Saccharomyces cerevisiae S288C: one gene and its partners. Changing the gene in region 2 together with the main gene of any one other region gives a genetic interaction. Each region holds a gene or a part of one and is shown on either strand. Other genes may lie near its edges. The genes, in order: YKL162C, YGL185C and FBP26.

What was found.
Region 1: mutations in YGL185C (region 2) and YKL162C together harm fitness more than expected from each alone (negative genetic interaction), as found in Saccharomyces cerevisiae (one large-scale study listed by BioGRID).
Region 3: mutations in YGL185C (region 2) and FBP26 together harm fitness more than expected from each alone (negative genetic interaction), as found in Saccharomyces cerevisiae (one large-scale study listed by BioGRID).

What each region holds. Positions count from the first base shown.
Region 1 is NC_001143.9:144,513-153,530, reverse strand, and holds YKL162C (type II protein arginine methyltransferase), read left to right. Parts: upstream 1-4,692; coding exon 4,693-5,901; downstream 5,902-9,018. Other genes in the region: ELF1 (Elf1p), read right to left, coding at 1-262; putative protein kinase KDX1, read left to right, coding at 2,844-4,145; PIR3 (beta-1,3-glucan linked protein), read right to left, coding at 8,153-9,018. UniProt on the Saccharomyces cerevisiae protein: Arginine methyltransferase involved in the assembly or stability of mitochondrial NADH:ubiquinone oxidoreductase complex (complex I).
Region 2 is NC_001139.9:152,560-161,741, reverse strand, and holds YGL185C (putative hydroxyacid dehydrogenase), read left to right. Parts: upstream 1-7,435; coding exon 7,436-8,575; downstream 8,576-9,182. Other genes in the region: serine/threonine protein kinase ATG1, read right to left, coding at 1-1,677; GTS1 (Gts1p), read right to left, coding at 2,646-3,836; MND1 (Mnd1p), read left to right, coding at 4,457-4,459, 4,543-5,199; cystathionine beta-lyase STR3, read left to right, coding at 5,730-7,127; TPN1 (Tpn1p), read left to right, coding at 8,966-9,182.
Region 3 is NC_001142.9:128,830-132,429, reverse strand, and holds FBP26 (fructose-2,6-bisphosphatase), read left to right. Parts: upstream 1-1,786; coding exon 1,787-3,145; downstream 3,146-3,600. Other genes in the region: retromer subunit VPS35, read left to right, coding at 1-1,329; SSY5 (Ssy5p), read left to right, coding at 3,478-3,600. UniProt on the Saccharomyces cerevisiae protein: Monofunctional, high-specificity fructose-2,6-bisphosphatase, which releases phosphate from the 2-position of fructose 2,6-bisphosphate. Has no detectable 6-phosphofructo-2-kinase activity.

The DNA of each region.
Region 1 (9,018 bases), on a different chromosome or scaffold from region 2:
TGTCACTTCCACGGCCAGAATTGACTTCTTCGACGGCGTCAAACCAATCACTATATACATCAACAGGCTGTGATAATGAATTTATGCGCGTTTGGAACGACTGCCCACAAATCTTGCACGATAAAGTTCCTATACTATTTTTTTTGTCCAGAGTGCATGAAACTGATTTTTCATGATTACAAAATAAACAATTGAATTTCGTATCTAATTTTTGGACCAGTCTCTTGGTAGGCTTTCTTGTTGACTTCTTTCTTTTACCCATGGCTCGTTAATTGTTTTCAGTGTTTTTTATGACATTCTTCTTCATAATTCTCCCCATCTTTATTACTATTCCTTTTCCAATTATTTGTAGATTATTGCTTTACCAAAGTTTAATCATTTTAAACGTTTTTGTTTCTTCCGTTTTCAGAATTTTTACAATTTGTCACCGAAATAGCAGTTTTTGTTTAATTTTAACGCTATGGGGTAAAAATTTTGGGCCCAATTTCAACTGAAAGAAGAGATATTTTAAATATGATAAGATAATCTTATAACTACGAATTTATTATTTTGTACGTGTCATAATAAATAAGGAAGTGCCTGAAGAGCGTTAAGTAACTTTGGAATCTTCGTTATGAAAACATTGGCTATTTGTTTCAGAAAAAAGCCGTTTAAGTACTTAAAAGAATAGTTATGTTTATATAGGTATGGTGACGAGGCTCTACATAGGACTAATAATGGTGATTTCCCGTCCAGTTTGGTTTACCCTCGTACCATCAAAAGCCTACAAATTCACAGGAAAATCGAAAAAAGATCCTTTCAAAGGTATTTTTCGTCGTGGTTTATTTCCAATGTTGTCATCTTTTTGTCTAACATCTCTCCCACCGATTTTGTCTCACTAACGCGATGATTTTGAATAGGAATGTAGTTTGAACTGTGAAATCATGACAGAATAAGCATGTTACATATAAATATTGGTTACCGTATTTCTTACGCTAGCATACTTCAAGTGTCTTTTGTACTTCTTAAGTTCTTTTGTTTTTGGATAATGATTTAATGCGACACATTGAAAAGGATAATGAATTCTTGCTGGGAACCTCGAACCAAATATTGTGACCTGGAAATGTTGTGTGCAAGACACCGTGAAATCACGCAATAAGACATATCTATACCGTGACAACTCCAAAAAATCCTAAAAACGGCAATTACGTGCAGAAGAATAACGGAAGTTCAGATAGTGGAGAGAAGAATTTATTCTTGTCCCTAAAATGCCCACCAGAGCAGCACTTCTAGTAAGCACATGCATGCTCCACCGCAAATCATCATATTGACGGTATCACACTATAAAAGAATAAAACATGTTGCAAGGCATAATTACTACCGAATTGCAAAAAATTGAACACCAACTTAGCGTGGTTCTATCAGAGAACGACATATCAATTCCTCACAATGAAAAACTAACTGACTAGAATACTTCCACTTTGGTGCCGCATTTGATGAAACAGCAAATAATACCTACACTTAAGTTGAATGAAGATTTCGTTTTCTTTGAGATAGCTCGAGGACATTCACGAAAGAAAAAATTTTAAAGAACAGTTTATAAGCTCTTTTTTAGAATCCTATTCTGTTTACTTCACTGTTCACTTACTTTCGGTCCCACATCTACAAAACATCTACAACAAGAACGTGGGCGATACAGCAAAAAATCACTTGAAATAACAGAATCAAGTTTCTTATCCGATTTCCTACTTTTGAGCTCCGGCTTATGTTGAAGATGTTACTTTTCTTTGTCTCTAAGTGATCTTTATTTTTCTGGCTCCAGTGAAATTTGGTAATAGCATAGTCACTTCAACTAAAGTCTGATAGTAATACTTGCAAATATTGCAAAACTTGGAAGAATGTTAATGAATCATTTCTTGCACCATTCTTTCAATCATCTCAATCTCCTGCTGTGATGTTTAAGTATAACATTGAAGACTATGCCCTAATTTCCAATGTTATTTAGTTTTAAGCATATCTTTGTTTCTAACAGGAAACTCAGGCCCACATCCGCAAAAAAATATGTGCCAAAAAACTTTCAACACTTCAAAGATACTTACCACTGCAGGAAAATAATCTACGTGTAACGGTTTGAAAATAAATTTGACTTCATAATTGGACATAAGTACTCCATCGCCATCCCTTTTTAAAGAAGTTTCCACAAGAATGAATGGCTAATCGCAACTAAATCTTTTCCTTGCAAACGTAACACAGTATCGACATTTTCTTACTCAATCCAACGAAGGAATAACCTATCTAAAAAATAAACGCCGTAGTTTTCAGCCCACAAGACGTCATTAAAAGATTTGTTAATTATAAAAATAGAAATATTTCTACCAGCATGATTATTCGTTACTTGAAAGTCCCCAATAAATTTCACTGTTTCCGTTAACTGTTGTAGTTATTAAACGCAGCAAACAGATTATTTTGAACAACACCGGAGAAACACGCGCAGACCCATTCGAGTTAAAAATAGTAACTCGCGATCAATCAATGCAGGAAGCACCGTAGGAATTAGTAAGAACTCGTATTTTGATTGAAAATGCCATGAAAGCAATTGACTTGCTGCAGTAAAAAGCGCTGCCACAAACTTTGTAATTTTCGACAATGACGTTCTTTTCAGATGGTTACTGTCTTTTTTTGGAAGAAACAAAAGAAGGTACTTTTATGATGTTATACTAGGCAAAAAGCCTATTTAATGTAAGTCCTAATTGTCGTTTGAGACTGGATGAAAAGGGACAAAATGGAAGGATAACTAAAGGTGACTTACCGCCAGATTAATTCGGCCTGGAATAGTTTGATATCGAAGAAAGATTCACAATTAAATGGCGACTGACACCGAGAGGTGTATTTTCCGTGCATTCGGCCAAGATTTTATCCTAAATAAACATTTTCATTTGACAGGTAAGATTGGTCGGGGCTCACACAGCCTTATTTGTTCTTCAACTTACACAGAATCGAACGAGGAAACTCACGTGGCTATCAGAAAAATACCAAACGCGTTTGGCAATAAACTATCTTGCAAGAGAACTCTTCGTGAATTGAAACTACTAAGACATTTAAGAGGGCACCCAAATATAGTGTGGCTCTTCGATACTGATATAGTATTTTACCCAAATGGGGCACTAAATGGCGTTTATTTATATGAAGAACTAATGGAATGTGACCTTTCTCAAATTATAAGGTCCGAACAACGCCTGGAAGACGCACACTTTCAAAGCTTCATATATCAGATACTGTGTGCTCTGAAATACATACATTCTGCTAATGTTTTACATTGTGACCTGAAACCAAAAAACTTACTTGTTAATAGTGATTGCCAACTAAAAATTTGTAATTTTGGGCTATCGTGTAGTTATTCAGAAAACCACAAGGTTAACGACGGCTTCATTAAGGGTTATATAACCTCGATATGGTATAAAGCACCAGAAATTTTGCTGAATTATCAAGAATGCACAAAAGCTGTCGATATTTGGTCAACAGGCTGTATCTTGGCCGAACTACTTGGTAGGAAACCAATGTTTGAAGGGAAGGATTATGTAGATCATTTGAATCATATTCTACAAATACTTGGAACACCACCTGAGGAAACATTGCAGGAAATTGCCTCTCAAAAGGTGTATAATTATATCTTTCAGTTCGGTAATATCCCGGGAAGATCGTTTGAAAGCATACTACCTGGTGCTAATCCAGAAGCGCTTGAATTGCTAAAGAAAATGCTAGAATTTGATCCTAAAAAAAGGATTACTGTAGAGGATGCACTAGAGCATCCATATTTGTCAATGTGGCATGATATAGATGAGGAATTCTCATGTCAAAAGACCTTTAGATTCGAATTCGAGCATATCGAAAGTATGGCGGAATTAGGAAACGAAGTTATAAAGGAAGTATTTGATTTCAGGAAAGTTGTTAGAAAACATCCTATTAGCGGTGATTCCCCATCATCATCACTATCTTTAGAGGATGCCATTCCTCAAGAAGTTGTACAGGTCCATCCTTCTAGGAAAGTTTTACCCAGTTATAGTCCTGAATTTTCCTATGTAAGCCAACTTCCATCACTAACTACAACCCAGCCATATCAAAACCTTATGGGAATAAGCTCTAATTCATTTCAGGGTGTTAACTAAAAGGAAAACACCTTCAAACAAGATACTAAGCATGAAAATAGTGAACTACTGAACGGACCTACTGAGCCAAATATAACAAAAATGAGCCCAGTTTCATCGTCTCCCCCAGGTCACGATATAAATGTCAATGATGGTACAAACCAAAATACAAATGAGGATGACAGCGATTTTTTCTTCGACCTAGAAAAAGAACTTGAATTATTTAGACGATAAATTTTTGTAGCAGAAAACCACAACTAATAGATGCGCACATACACTATCTATAATGAATATGTAAAATGCCTGTTCACCTTCTTAATTATTGGTATATACTTCAAATATTGCAAAAAGAGAAAGTCCTCTCGGCGGTTTTGCAGTTCCTTCCGAAAGCGGGAAAAACCAAAATGTGAGAAAGTAGGATACACCATTGCGTAGATTCGCGATGATCCGAATATAAACATGATTCCCTCGTCAGTCCTCTCTCAAGTTTTCTTTCCCGTTTTAAATAGCTTACTAATATTTTCACAAAAAAGTTGATATCATTTAAAGGTGCTTTTGGCGGGATTGAATGATGAAAAGATTACACCCCTTGAGAATTCAAGTTCATCTGAAATCTGATTACCCACTGTTTACTTTCGAGCAATTACTCTCTACAAATGGGATAAGAAGAGGCCAAACTGCGAGAATTTCTTTGAAAGATTACATAGAGTGGCAAAATTTCCCAAACATAATGAAAAGAGAAAATTTTTTTACGCAAAGGAAGCCTGTAACTACAACCGCAAAAGAAGAACCCTTTTCATTTGATAACATTCTTGACTGTGAGCCACAATTTAGCAAATGCCTTGCCAAATGGCTACTGGTTAATTACAAATTAAATGACTATCCTTATTACGATCTTAACATTGTGAATATTTACACGGATTTACCCCAAGCAATTCAGATTTGCAAAAATTTAATGTCATATCTCAAGTCTACTTTATCTGATAACATGTTCCAGAAAATAAAATATTTCATGGTACCTCTATACAAGTGTGACAAAATACCTTCGAAGCTCTTAGACGGAATACCTGGATCAGTCAGTTTGGTACAAGATTATCCGGTTTCCCCATATTTTTTACAGAAAAAATTTCACATAGAGGATCCAATCCAAATTTTGATGCTTAATGATGTTATAAAATACACAACCCACGATTTAGTAAGGTACTCTTCAGATGACAAAGGGTGGCAACAGTGCTTTGTGGATATCAATAAGAATGGACAAAAATCCAAGAGCTTTGATAGCGCCATTGACTACTCATGTGAACTTGCATTAGAACAAATGTTCAATGATCGATCCCATGTAAGTCCTGGTAAAGAACTTTATATCCCCACTAAATTAATTGAGATATTGATGACAATCAAGAATAATATTCCAGAACATAGACTTTTCATTGTAGACACCCCGCAAAGATCGAGCCCAACAATAATATCGTTATTAAAGAGTTTAATAAGCCCACGGCCGACGGGATCTAGCCAGATAGTACAGCCATATTCGGATTCAATATTTTCAGACAAACGGAGTGGAAGAATATGCTTCATGACGGACTTCTTACAGTTACAGAACATTTATAATGGTATTAACAGTTCTTCTAGTAGCTGCGAAGTCGAAGACGTTGCTGATTTTGTTGAAAAATGGATTAGCCCAAGTGAGAGAAGCACACTTTCGTCGCAGAATGGAAATAGGCCTCAACTAGAAGACATAAAAAATAGCTCTTTGGCGGTGCTACACTCCACGTGATTTCTTTTATTTCGTTGAATTAAAATGAAGACGTTTTTTACAGTAAGCGACCTTAATCTTTGTTTCTATTATCTACACTTTTACGTTTAGTATATTCATTTCATAGGCAGTAGGCATTCTTTTAAGAAAAACATAGCGCGCATATCTTCTCCTCTTTTGTTTCGCAACTCCCAAACAAGATATCAATTTCCCACCACTCTAACGAATGCGAATAGTAACCCCATATTTAAATAATACTATAAGGGTATTCGTACGAGGTAGGATTTTCAGTAGACCAAATAGCCTTCAACGACATCATAAGTACACACTGAGTCTAAGCATTGAACTTTCATATGAATATATGGGACTATAAGAGATGGGTGTGAAGAGAAAGACAAATTTGGGTTGAAGAGTTATAATTAGCCTTATGCAGGTCTCGCTCGCATATTCTTAACTCAATAGGAGCAATTTCTTCCATAAGCTTATATCCATATCCGGTCATTTTCTTCATTTGTGCCTGTAAACGCATATGATTTTTTTTTCTTAGGCACGTTCTGCGTGAAAATTTCCTGTTGCGGATGAGTAAGGTGTTCGTTCTACTTCAAAACTCCGTCGCAAATTTAAGTTTAATCTTGTAAATTGCCTAATACGTCATACGTCAATACATGATTCGCGTTCTTTTTTTTCCATCTTGCTAACGCGAACCTAAACGGTGCGACAAAAAGCCACTGGGCTTAATCGCTTAACAGAGCTACCGATTCTGCTTGATCTATTGACAATTTAACGTAGACTACGTAAAAAGTATATATGCATATATTAATCGATGCCTGCGCAATGTTGCTAACACTTTTCCACTTTATGTCGCTATCTTGCCCTCTTTAAGGAAGTTGCATCCTTTTATTTAGTATATTTTTTATATTCACAGAAGTTCAGAGAGTAAAAGTACAACATAATTACTAAATGGTGTCTTTTTCGGGAAAGGAAAGCCATGTAGCCCAAATATATTGGTTTGATAACAGTTTCACTATACTGTTTCTGCCCAACAGTATATGCCAAGTGAGCCATGGTCAACCTTAACTCCTTCTGCTACTACCTCATGCGGCGCTACTGAATTTACTTCCTTCTTCGGTATCACTGTCCAAACAATTACAACAGGATCTACCACGGTTAAGAGAGACGTTTTTTCTTAGATCGTTGACGGCCAAATTGAAATCATTGCTATCCCCACAAAAAACAGTGCATGTACTTTGATTAGTAAAAAAAATACTGAATCACGACCACTTTAATCGGAACCTACATAGATACGATTAAAGAGGGAGCCACAGCAATCACTGTTACTGACTTCTCTATTTATTCCGATAAAAAAAGCACCTCTACATTGCCGTTATCGCTTAGTATTTCTTCTGCCATCTCTTTTTTCTTTTCTTACGTTACATGTCAAGGCATTGCTGCTGTTTCTAAAAAAAAAGCTGTCGTAGCAGTGACAGCGCTTTGAAAGTAACTTTGAAGAGCGGCATTTTGACAGATAGCAAGGGCAGCATCTGTTCTACTGTTGCCAACAGACAATTCCAATTCGATGACCCTCCACCACAAGTTGGTGTTATCTATGCTCCTGGGGTTGTCTATCACACCAGAAGGGGATCTGCCCCTTAGTGGCCAAGATATCTTTTATCAATACTCGTTCAGCAGTTTTTACAATATACACGACGAAAGGATTAGAGAACAATGAAGTTAAGTCTACCTACAAGCTTTTTCCTTGGTCAGTTGCTAAACTATCTTTTGGCATTCCAGCTGAGTGCTTTTCTATACCTTAAGCGCTCCTTTGCTATCGCAGCTAGCTTCACAAATTTTTTCTCAGGGAAAGCTTCTGCAATTGCGACTAAGTTGAAAGATAAAATATAAAGTATTATAAACGATATTTTTATAGCAGGACCACCTAATAGCATACAAATAGCTATAAGTATGTTTGATTCTGAATTATATTTAGGTAATTATGTATCATAAAATTTTTTTTTTTACAATTAAAAAGGTACGACATGTAAATCTGAGTAAATTCTATAACTATTTTTATTATAGCGACGAACGATAATGTGTGAAAACGTGATGCTTTCTCGAGCAAACGCTAAATGAATGCAAAGAACGAGGAAAGGTTTGGAAATAAAGACATGCTAAATGAAAAGGATGCCATAAAACAAGTTTATGTGTGGGGAATGAGAGTGGCAACTAATTCGTGAAGTTAAAGGAGGACGACTCCGATTGATCGATGCATCGTTCAACAGTCAATTAAATCTATAGCTTGCAAATAAACTTCATGGCACTGAGAACCAATGTGCTTATCATACAAGTTATAGAAGTCACCAGACAAACATTGGTAAAAAGTATCCTGGTCACCAAGAGCTAAGTTACCTTCTGGGGTGATGGACCAACCAGCAGCATAGATAGCACCAGCTTGTGGTGGAGGACCATCGAATTGGAACTGTCTGTTGGCAACGATAGAGCCAATTCTACCCTTCCTATCGGTTAAGATACCCTTGCTTAAACTCATTGACAAGGTACTATTGTTATTACAGGAAACAACATCGACTGGATCGTTAGCGTCTTTCACTTCAGCAGTAGCCTGGACTTGGCCATCACTTACTTGACTAGCGCCACTGGTAGTTTTAGATGCTTGTATCTGCCCATCTGTAATTTGGGATGCAGCAGCCTTAGTAGAGGTAGTGGCCTGAACTTGGCCGTCAGAAATCTGAGAGGCAGCGGCAGCAGTAGACTTGGCAGCTTGAACTTGACCATCAGTTATTTGAGAAACGGCAGCGGCAGTAGACTTAGCAGCTTGAACTTGACCGTCAGTTATTTGAGAAACGGCAGCGGCAGTAGACTTAGCAGCTTGAACTTGACCGTCAGTTATTTGGGAAACAGCAGCGGCAGTAGACTTAGCAGCTTGAACTTGACCGTCAGTTATTTGAGAAACAGCAGCAGCGGTGGATTTCTTAGAAACAGCAGCAGTAGTAGTGGCAGCCTGTACTTGACCATCACCTATCTGAGAGGCGGCTCTCTTTGCTTTAGATGAGGCGACGGAGGAAGCACTGGTAGCCACGGCTTCAATAGCAATACCGAAACTCGAAGAGTAATCTGTTATAC
Region 2 (9,182 bases):
CAAAGTTTGACTGTACGGTGGGGAAGATGTGATTTGTTGCTGTTGCTGCTGTTGATTTGCACCACCAAACAATCTCGTTGATGCAATACCGAGGGCTCTTGATAATGCATTAGATGGATTCAGCGAGGATATAGACAAGCGTCTATCCACCAAAGATGGTCGCCTAGACCCATCACTACCTCCACTGGAAGATGATGTGGCCCTCAGTAACCTCGGATTTTCTCCTTGATTTTGAAAATACTGTTGATTGTTTGGAGAGAATTGCTCATTCAATAAGACGTTCTGATTTTGAGTTGAAGTTGGGTGCTTAATAGGATTTGGATTGAATCCTGCTTGAGCAACCTCGTCTGCCAATGAATTAACTTCAACCGATTTCTTCTCTACCACCACATATTCTCTTTCAAAGCTTCTATCTGAAACTAGGCTATTATGGTATTTATTATTTGAAGCCTTTTTATCTACGGCTTGTGTATGGTCTGTTTTAACGGCTGGGGCAGTTAATATATTGCTGTTCTTGAGGGCATCACTGAGCTCCGCGGGATTATCTGCCATTGATTGATGACCTGCAAGATTACTGTTCGGACTCTTTGGCTGTTTAGATAAATACTCAGAAACGAACATATTACTTTCTACAATACCTTTTGATTTGGATTCTAACTCAGGTAAATCATCTTCCAATTCATAAGAAGACAAGTCTTCGTTGACTACCTTGTTAGCAAAAAACTCCTCAAATCCTATTCTTTGGGCTGGATCAAATGTCAATAAACTACATATCAACTCTTTTAACTCTGGTTCAATATTGCAATATGAAGGAAACGTTATGACATCGTTTGCTCTTTTAATTTTCTTGAATAACTCCAAATGATTGGAAGCTCTAAACGGTGGGGTGCCACAGCACATTTCGAATACCACTGTACCGACAGACCACAGATCTGCTTTAGCGTTATATTTTTGATAATTCAAAATTTCTGGTGCCATATATAATGGTGAGCCACAAAGAGTTTCTGCTAATGACGTGTTTGGCAAAAATCTTGCAAACCCGAAATCTGCTATCTTTAAAATGGGTAAGTTGTAGATCCCAACAAATCCAAGTTCATGGAAGCTTTTTGAATCATGATATCCAATTAGGGGTGTAGATAATAGTAAGTTTTGAGGCTTGATGTCTCTATGAACCAAGTTTTTAGACCTCAAAAATTTCAAAGCGGACGCTAACTGCTGTAAATAACTCAAGACAAACGCTCTATGCAGGCCGTTATGGTTCTCACTCGGTGGAGGGTATTTTTCAAATACGGTCCTTAGTAGAGGATGATTCTCCATCAATTCTTTACGCCTTTTCAACAGAAATGTTAGGTCCCCAAGAGCACAGTACTCCATGATCAAATAAAAATCTGTTGATGTTCGTTCACAGTCAATAAGTCCGACGATATGAGGATGCTTGATTTTCTTCAAGATAGCGATTTCTATTTCCAAATTCTCTAGTAATTTCTTATTTTTTAATTTCGCCCTTGATACTTCCTTTATGGCTACATGCTGAGATTTGTCGGATGTCAGATGCCCTCTATATACAGTGGCAAACGAACCCTTTCCGATTTCTTTCTCAGCGGTGTAATTTCCTGCACTTGCCATTAGATTATGGTTCACAGAGGTTGTGTGATCTTTATTTTTAATGTCTCCCATTTTCTTAATTTCTCGTCTGGTGTTGTAAAAGAGATTTGAAAATATGGGGTAGCTTCAAATTCGTTTTGTGGAGATATCAATGATTATTCTCCTATCTCCTTTGCCTTATGTTTTTATTATATTATATGTTATTTTATTATGGGTACTATTACTACGATTGTATTATATCTTTTTATCTTCTATAGTACTGTTCTCTGTTTCCCCAGAAACTAAAAAGGGTAAAAGATGGCCTTGGTACTTAACTTAAAGGTGATGAAATGTGGCGTTCTAGAATTAACCTCGGCCTAAAAAATAAAAAGCTAAAAAAAAATAGTACGATCAGGAAGATATTAATAATATAAGCTCCTTTATGAGATGCTCGATTCCTTTTGTTGCCAACTAAATGACGCTTAGAATTCCATCGATTCCACGATCGATATAGTTACAAATCACAAACTGATGCTGATGGGGGAAATGGTTTAAGAAATCAGAGCCGAGCGGTTAAAAAGAAAAACAGATGCTTGAATACGAATGATATGCTTGCTTCTTTAACGGTATGGCTTTCCAGTAATAGTTACTCCGATAAGATTCATTACAGATACACGAAACGAACAAGGAAAAGATGATTAACGGGAAAAAAAGAGAGTTCCTTATCTCATTGATTTTAACTAGTGGGTTTTCCTTACATTACCGCCCAATCCCTTTTTTTTTTCTCGCTCTCACCGGCGGAGCGCGAGCGGAAAACGCCACCCAGGTGACTTTTGCGCTAAGTGTGGATCAAATACAGTGGTATTAGTCATTGATGTGCAGCGTAAAACGTCCGGAGCAGCTGTGTAATGCGGCTGTGTAGGGTGAATACAATAGAGAATATGACTAATTCTGGTATATAGTCGTTGTTTACAGATATCTTTCGTTACTTAGTGTCATTTAATTACTTAGTGTCACTCTATATGATATGTAATGCGGAGCAGCGGCAATGTATCTTATTTTTATTGTGTGTAGAAATAACCTTGTGGCAGGTTTCCTCCTTGCGACATTTGCTGAAAAGATAATGGCGCCTGTTGCTGTTGCTGCATCTGAAGCTGTTGCATCTGGATCTGCTGTGCTTGAGCCTGAGCCTGGGCCTGAGCCTGAGCCTGAGCCTGAACTTGAGCCTGTGCCTGTGCCTGTGCCTGAGCCTGAGCCTGTGCGACAGCAAGCTGTTGCTGTTGCTGTTGCTGCTGTTGCATAGCCATGGCGTATTGCTGCTGATCTACATATATCATTCCGGTAGCAGGATCGTAATACTGTTGAAGGGTACCATCGAAAACTGCTGGCTTTGCTTGTACAAAAGATGCTGAATTTGAAGTAAAATCTGGCGTGATTACATTTGTACCATCAAAAATAGCTGGCTGTGGGCCACTTGTTGTCGCACGTCTCCTGGGCAGGGGCGGAGTTGATGTTGTCGCTGCTGCCGATACACTATTTCTTGAACTTGAACTTTTTTCTAGATAATCGATTGCTCTATTGATATTTCCGTGAGCGGACGATAATGCATCTAAATTTTTGTTTGTATCACCGAAACCCATGTCCTTGAGTTCTGCCAGTTGCCTAGAATATCTGCTTCCACTGCTTTGGAATGAGTCCCTGGAACCGCCGTAGTCAGACCTATTATGGCCCCCTTTATAGAAAGAATGAGATCTGCTCCTGCTCCTACTTCTATTTCTTTCATCAAACCTGTCCGATTCCCCATCAAAATCATCCATTCTGGATCCAAAGTCTTCAGGCTTTATTTCATCATACCTGAATTTACCCAAAATATACTTGTCTCTAATGTAATGCTCCACGATGGCTTTGTCATCATCTCCATCAAAAGGAAAAGGGACATTTTTAGGATTCCAGAACCGAGCATTCCCCTTATTGCCTCCAAGACTCACTAATTCATCGATATCCTCTCTTGTCCATCTATCCATTGATAGTGATTTAACGTTAGAAAAGGCATCGTCGTCTCTGCTACCGAAAACTTTTCTATGAACAGAGGCACACCTACCACAAAGGAAAACCCCCAAATTAACTGAGCACCAAGTTGGGTAGAAATTACCACATTCACCGCATTTATTGGCATTCTCGGACGAATTAATCAACTCCTTTAATTCTCTGTCAACATGTTTTAAGCTATGGGAAGAACTCCTAAACCTCATTTTTGACTAAGTATAAATAAACTATAATCTGTGATTGACAGAACGCTGCCTCCATCTATATTAATGATTGATCAAGAGAAAATGTTCTTCTTCCACCCTTTTGTGAAGCATTTAGAGATCAACACTAACTTTCTTCAACTTACAATAATTTCCGGGTGCCCCCATTTATCGATTACCCGGATCCGCTTTGCATCATAGTGTGTCGTTGTCGAAACAAAAGCGCCGTATTATTTGGTCAACGTTTAATAAAGTAAAAGCAGCATTTGAGATGCTCTATACAACCTTCTTAATTGCAACCGACATAAAGGTATGTTTTTCTCTTCTTATTATGACAAGGGAAACTTGAAGAAGAATTCGTGTCTTGCCATAATTTCAGCATCATCGTCTCAACCTAAGCCTCTTCTCACGAAGGCACGCTCAAATATCTTTCTGGCTCTAAAAATCTTGAATAACGAACCGAATTTACCATCTTTCCTGCTTTTTTATGCGTCGAAAAAAAGTAAAATAACCGCCCAGATCACGAAATTGCATATAAAAGGCGATCTCCCGTCCCACCGTTATTCTTTGCGATATAGACTAAACGGCGGAAACTTTATGTGTAGTATCATAAACATTCAACAATGGTATGTCTAATAAAACCATCATGGTACACAGGACTGAACACTAACTTATAGACGGGTGCGTGCTACCCTCTTCTTATTATTAGGGGCCAAAGAGACAGACAGTATCACTCCAAGAGAAAAAGAACCGGATTCTGAACTTTTTTCAAGAGACGTACACATTCTACAACATCAAGGAATTAGAGAAAAGCATACCTAAAAAATGCGGAATCTCACCCATGATCGTTAAAGATTTAGTGCAACAAATGATTGATGAAGACGGCGTCATTTCGGTGGAAAAATGTGGTAATATTAACATCTACTGGTGCTTTAAAAATCAGACACTGCAAAAATTGTATGATTCAAGCGAGTTGATAAAAAAAAAGATACAGGAAGTAAAGTGTGATATTGCCACTTATAAACAAGAACTAGACAAAACGCTAGCAACTGGAAGGCGTAAAAAATTTACGGTAGGCCAAAAATCATACAATAGGGAGGCTCTACTGGAAAAGAGAAAAAAAATTCAGGATGAAATTAAGAAAAAGAGTAATAGTCTCCAAAAAATAGAAAGCATTAGATGGGATGCAGCAAAAATACAAGAGAATAAACAACAGATCCGCCTAAAAAAAGTGCATCTGGAGAAAACTACTGATAACATTGAGATTCTCATTGATTATTTATACAAGAAATTCTTTTTGAAGCCAGAACAGATAAGAAAAGAATTTGGAATTCCAGAAGAGTTCAAGGAATTTACGGAGGTTTAACCTTCATGCACTATACACGAAAGAACAAAAGTGTCTTGATTATTACATCTACATTTCCAGGCATAGAGCTTGCAGATTAGCCGCCCATAAATTTGCCACACTGTTTTCCGTGGCGCCACAGTCCGCGTTTGGTTATCCGGCTGACTCATTCTGACTCTTTTTTGGAAAGTGTGGCATGTGCTTCACACAATATAATTCCCGTGAGCACAGCATGCTTCGGGCCGAAGTCTGTTGGAGGCATATGCTCCTACCTTGGAAGACTCATCGCATCTCAAAAGTGTGTAAAGGGGCCTTCTGGCCATATATCCTCTGAGACCTGGTTGAAATGTGGCCAGAAGCAAAGCTGATAAAAACAACTGGCGCATACGTAGCTATATTTTAAATAAATAAATAAATAAATATATATATATATATATATATATATATACATATATATACAGTCATTGCCACACATCCCATAGCTCTGTGTGCTTACAGTTCATTAAAAACAAAAAATATCAAGCAAACAACAAAAGCATAGAAGCAAAAAGATGCCGATCAAGAGATTAGATACAGTTGTGGTAAATACCGGCTCTCAAAATGACCAACATTCAGCCTCCGTGCCACCGGTGTATTTGTCGACTACCTTCAAAGTGGACTTGAATAATGAAGATGCACAGAACTACGATTATTCCAGATCGGGAAACCCGACCAGAAGTGTCCTTCAACACCAGATTGGTAAGCTTTATCGTGTCCCACAGGAAAACGTATTAGCTGTGAGCAGTGGTATGACGGCGCTAGACGTCATCCTGCGTGGGCTCGTCTTACTTAACGGCACTGACAACCATACGCCAACAATAATAGCCGGCGATGATCTTTATGGAGGCACCCAAAGGCTGCTGAATTTTTTCAAGCAACAGAGTCATGCAGTCTCTGTTCATGTGGACACTTCCGATTTTGAAAAGTTCAAAACCGTTTTCCAGTCTTTAGATAAAGTTGATTGTGTTCTTCTAGAGTCTCCGACCAATCCGCTTTGCAAGGTTGTAGATATCCCTAGAATATTACGTTTTGTGAAATGCATATCTCCCGACACTACAGTTGTCGTTGATAATACTATGATGAGTGGACTCAATTGTAATCCTCTTCAACTGAATCCAGGCTGCGATGTCGTATACGAATCTGCTACCAAGTACTTGAATGGTCATCACGATTTGATGGGGGGTGTTATTATCAGCAAAACACCAGAAATAGCCTCGAAGCTTTACTTTGTCATTAATTCTACAGGAGCTGGATTATCCCCAATGGATTCTTGGCTACTTGTGAGGGGCCTAAAAACTCTAGGAGTTAGATTATATCAACAGCAGAGAAATGCTATGATATTGGCTCATTGGCTAGAAAATTCATGCGGATTCAAACCTACCAGAACAAACAAGGCTACGAAAACTAGATTTGTTGGATTACGCTCCAACCCGGATTTCAAGCTGCATAAATCGTTCAATAATGGCCCAGGTGCCGTGTTATCCTTCGAAACGGGGTCCTTCGAACATTCAAAGAGACTGGTCAGTTCCAAAAAACTGAGTATATGGGCTGTGACGGTATCTTTCGGGTGTGTAAATTCGCTTCTATCTATGCCTTGCAAAATGTCCCATGCTTCCATTGATCCCGAATTAAGGAAAGAGAGAGATTTTCCTGAAGATTTGGTTCGTCTTTGCTGCGGTATCGAAAATATAGTAGATTTGAAGAAAGATTTATTAGCGGCGATGGTTGACGCTGATATTATAGAAGTAAGAGAAAATGGCAAATATCTTTTCAACAAATTGAATAAGAACCTAGCTGTGAACACTACCATCGATGACCTGCATAAGCCTTTAAGTATTTACGAAGAATTTTACAATCAAGATCTCATCAGAAAGGACTCAGAATTGAATATTAAGAGTTCGAAATTGTAAGGGAAAATATGCATGTACCTTTTTTTTTTTTTTTTATAAGGTTCAAATCCAAAGATAGTAACTTTAAATAGTCAAGTATATAGACAGAATTTCAAGAACAGTAAGTATATTAAACTTTTACAGCCTTTCGGGCTGTTCCGTAAGCTCTTACTACTACCCTTGGGAAACGCACGCGCGAAGGAGGAAAGTTTGCCTCAATGAACGTGTGTAATGGCGGTCGTAAAAGGAATATAGAAATAGCTGTGCTTTTATAACTTCACTCGACAATGGGTTGACAGCAGATTTAGAAGGAAAAGAGCATACAAAAAATGTGCGATTCTCCTGCAACGACTGGAAAGCCTACTATTCTTTTCATCGCAGATCCGTGCGAAACATCAGCCACACTTAATTCCAAGGCATTCAAAGAGAAGTTCAGGATCTTGCGCTATCAGCTGGACACCAAAGAAGCATTTCTTAACTTTTTAGAAAGGCATGAACAAGACAAAATATGTGCCATTTATGCTGGGTTTCCGGCATTCAAAAAAATCGGTGGGATGACTCGAAGTATCATCGAACACAAGTCATTTCCAAGGAAAAATTTAAAATGTATCGTGCTTTGCTCAAGAGGTTACGACGGATGGGATCTGGATACATTACGCAAGCATGAAATTCGATTATACAACTACCAAGACGATGAAAATGAAAAATTGATAGACGATTTAAAGCTTCATCAAGTCGGTAATGATGTGGCAGATTGTGCCTTGTGGCACATTCTGGAGGGCTTTAGAAAGTTCTCCTATTACCAAAAACTTAGTAGAGAAACTGGAAATACATTAACTGCAAGGGCGAAAGCTGCAGAAAAGAGCGGATTTGCTTTTGGCCATGAACTGGGGAATATGTTTGCTGAATCACCAAGAGGAAAGAAATGCTTAATTCTTGGTTTAGGAAGTATTGGAAAGCAAGTAGCCTACAAGTTGCAATACGGGCTAGGAATGGAAATACATTATTGCAAAAGAAGCGAAGATTGCACAATGAGTCAAAACGAAAGCTGGAAATTTCATTTGCTAGATGAAACAATATATGCAAAACTATACCAGTTTCATGCAATCGTGGTCACATTGCCGGGAACTCCACAAACAGAACATTTAATCAACAGGAAATTTTTGGAACACTGCAATCCAGGCCTAATTTTAGTCAACTTGGGAAGAGGTAAAATTTTGGACTTGCGGGCTGTTTCTGACGCCTTGGTAACGGGACGAATCAACCATCTCGGTTTAGACGTCTTTAATAAAGAACCAGAAATAGATGAAAAAATCAGATCTTCTGATAGACTTACTTCAATTACTCCGCATTTGGGTAGTGCGACAAAGGATGTTTTTGAGCAAAGTTGTGAACTGGCATTGACAAGAATCTTACGGGTAGTGTCTGGGGAAGCCGCAAGCGATGAGCATTTCTCCCGTGTAGTTTGATAGTAAGAGACGTAAGAACCTTATGTTAACATACCTATATATACATATACGTCAACACACCAAGAAAAAAGAGCAGTGCGAGTTTTCGTATGCATTTGACTTCAAAAAGAAGTCAACATTAAGTGCCGTTTTTGTTTCGACAATGGATTGTAGTACAGTGCCCCGTAGGTGTATGACTCGTACTTGCGTGTAAGTAAATTTCGGATTTGTTCGCCGCACCTTATCTCACCTGAAATTTTCTGCGTCAGGCTGCTTTGATGGTGTCTAAGAGAAGGCCATTAAAAAAGAGAACAGATGTTGAGGTTCTCAGTATAAAAATATTACTGTTGAATATTATTAGCTTTATAGAGTATTTATCAAAGAACAGGACTTGAAAAACTTCGATCATAGATGAATAGGGACAACATGGACACAACAAAGCGCAAAGAAGATCATACAAAGCATACTACTGATGTAATAGAATTTTACGAAGAAGGAACCGCAGCTTCTTCTTTAAACATAGCCACAGAAAAGGCCAACTCAAGTCCGTCCATTTTGAGAAGAATTATCAACAGGGCGGCATGGCTTTCTAAGAAAGTGGACGCAATGGGAGTAGAGTCTACCGGTA
Region 3 (3,600 bases), on a different chromosome or scaffold from region 2:
AATGTTGCATCCTCGGATACAAATGTAGACGAAGTGTTTTTTAATCGACATGATGAAGAAGAATCCTGGATACTGGACCCAATACAGGAAAAGTTGGCACATTTGATTCATTGGATAATGAACACTACTTCTCGGAAACAAACAATGAAAAACAAAATTCAATTTAGCTTAGAAGCCCAATTGGAAATATTACTTCTTATTAAATCTTCGTTCATTAAAGGTGGCATCAATGTTAAATACACTTTTCCAGCAATAATCACAAATTTTTGGAAACTGATGAGGAAATGCCGTATGATACAAGAGTACCTTTTGAAAAAAAGACCCGATAACAAGACGTTACTTTCCCATTATTCCAATCTTTTAAAGCAAATGTTTAAATTTGTTTCTCGTTGTATCAATGATATCTTTAATTCTTGCAACAACTCATGCACAGATCTGATTCTGAAACTGAATTTACAATGTGCCATTCTAGCTGATCAATTGCAATTAAACGAAATTTCATATGATTTTTTCTCACAGGCCTTCACAATATTTGAAGAGTCTCTAAGTGATTCAAAGACTCAGTTACAGGCTTTAATATATATTGCTCAGTCTTTACAAAAGACAAGATCACTCTACAAAGAAGCTTATTATGATTCTTTGATTGTCAGATGCACACTCCATGGATCCAAATTATTAAAGAAACAAGACCAATGTCGTGCTGTTTATTTATGCTCCCACCTCTGGTGGGCAACGGAAATTTCAAATATTGGTGAGGAAGAAGGTATCACAGACAACTTCTACAGAGATGGTAAACGGGTGTTAGAATGTCTACAAAGGTCTCTCCGTGTGGCGGATTCTATAATGGATAACGAACAGAGTTGTGAGCTAATGGTCGAAATATTAAATAGATGCCTCTACTATTTTATTCACGGGGATGAGTCCGAAACTCATATATCGATAAAATACATCAATGGTCTGATCGAACTAATCAAAACAAACTTAAAATCGCTAAAACTAGAAGATAACAGTGCCTCTATGATTACCAACTCAATCAGTGATTTGCACATCACCGGAGAAAATAATGTGAAGGCAAGCAGTAATGCTGACGATGGCTCTGTAATCACAGATAAGGAATCAAATGTTGCCATAGGATCGGATGGTACGTATATTCAATTAAATACTCTGAACGGATCTTCCACGCTAATACGCGGAGTCGTAGCAACTGCTTCAGGTAGTAAATTACTGCACCAACTGAAGTATATCCCAATCCACCATTTTCGACGCACTTGTGAGTACATTGAAAGTCAAAGAGAAGTTGACGATCGTTTCAAAGTCATATATGTATAGTTAAATAACGTACTTGCTCTTCGTACATGCCCAAGATAAAAAAAAACTACACAAATAAAGCTAATAAAAATTTACCTAAAGAAGGATCATAGATTAAGTGGAAGGAAACTTGTACATAATTCGAGTTTATTTTCAACTAAGATATCAAGGATTGTTTACTATAAAAACACTTAATTGGGTAATTTCTATTTTTTACTTTTTTTCTGTGTTAAAAAAATGGGTCGCGCCAATGCGCTCACAAATCTATTCTTATCCCTAACTTACATCTACATGTAAAGCGCCACTAAGAGAGCTATAGCTTATCATACATTTACATCAGGTAAAGTATCATTTTGGCCAGTGGATACGAATTTAATATATAATCTTTGCTTTCCCTTCGCTCTTAAATTCACCAAGCAAGTTTGTTAAGAAATAAAGGAAAGGGGGCTCAAAAACCGAATCAAGTAAGACAAGAAACATGGGGTACAGTACTATTTCCAACGATAATGATATCAAAGTATGTGTGATAATGGTTGGCCTACCAGCTAGAGGAAAGTCTTTTATTTCCCAAAAAATTATCAGGTACTTATCGTGGTTATCCATAAAAGCCAAGTGTTTTAATGTGGGAAATTACAGAAGAGACGTGAGTGGAAATGTCCCAATGGATGCTGAGTTTTTTAACTTCGAAAATACAGATAATTTTAAACTCAGAGAATTGGCTGCCCAAAATGCCATAAAAGATATTGTTAATTTTTTTACTAAAGAAGACGGATCTGTGGCAGTTTTCGATGCTACTAATAGTACACGTAAAAGAAGGAAATGGCTTAAAGATATATGTGAAAAGAATAATATTCAACCGATGTTTTTAGAGAGCTGGAGTAACGATCATGAACTGATTATAAATAACGCTAAGGATATCGGTAGCACATCTCCTGATTATGAAAACTCTGAACCTCATGTGGCGGAAGCTGATTTTTTGGAAAGAATTAGACAATATGAAAGATTTTATGAACCTTTGGACCCCCAAAAAGATAAGGATATGACGTTCATTAAGTTGGTCAATATTATTGAAGAAGTAGTAATTAATAAGATCAGAACATATTTGGAAAGTAGGATTGTATTTTATGTTATGAATATTCGTCCTAAACCAAAATATATCTGGCTCTCCCGTCACGGCGAATCGATCTATAACGTAGAGAAAAAAATTGGCGGGGATTCATCACTGTCTGAAAGAGGCTTTCAGTACGCTAAAAAATTGGAGCAGTTAGTGAAAGAGAGCGCAGGAGAAATAAATTTGACCGTGTGGACTTCCACCTTAAAAAGAACACAACAAACGGCAAATTATCTTCCCTATAAGAAACTGCAATGGAAAGCACTTGATGAATTAGACGCTGGCGTTTGTGACGGAATGACGTATGAGGAAATTGAAAAAGAATATCCTGAAGATTTTAAAGCACGTGATAATGACAAATACGAGTACAGATATCGTGGTGGAGAATCATACAGAGATGTAGTGATTCGTTTAGAGCCCGTCATTATGGAATTGGAGCGCCAAGAAAATGTTCTCATTATAACTCATCAAGCCGTACTTCGGTGTATATATGCATATTTTATGAACGTTCCACAGGAGGAATCCCCTTGGATGTCAATCCCACTACACACATTGATCAAGCTGGAGCCTAGGGCCTATGGCACAAAGGTCACCAAAATTAAAGCAAACATCCCTGCAGTGAGTACATATAAAGAGAAGGGTACAAGCCAAGTAGGTGAGCTTTCTCAAAGCTCAACTAAACTTCATCAACTGCTCAATGACTCTCCTTTGGAAGACAAATTTTAAATTTTACTTTTTATTTTTGTGTATCTTAAGTCCAAGCTTACTTGTGGCTGATACGCACAATCTTTTATGTACGAAAAGATCAGGAAACGTAGCATTGATGGTTTTTTATGTACGTCTGCAGCATTGTATGTAATTATTACCCAAACTAATTTTAAGTGAAATTGTAGAACGCCGCGGCGGAAGTATTTTTGAGTAAAAAAAAAAAAGTAAGATTCGAAAATGAAATTATACAGTACAGAAAACGTAAATATACAATAAAGGTTGAATAAACATACTAGATATCCTCCTTTCTTTTTGCATGTACATAGTACTGGTGTAAACTCGATATACCGATGGTCAGATTTTTTGGTTTAAACAAGAAAAAGAACGAAGAAAAGGAAAATACAGACTTGCCTGCAGACAATGAACAAAACGCAGCAGAAACGTCGTCTAGCAACGTATCTGGAAATGAAGAA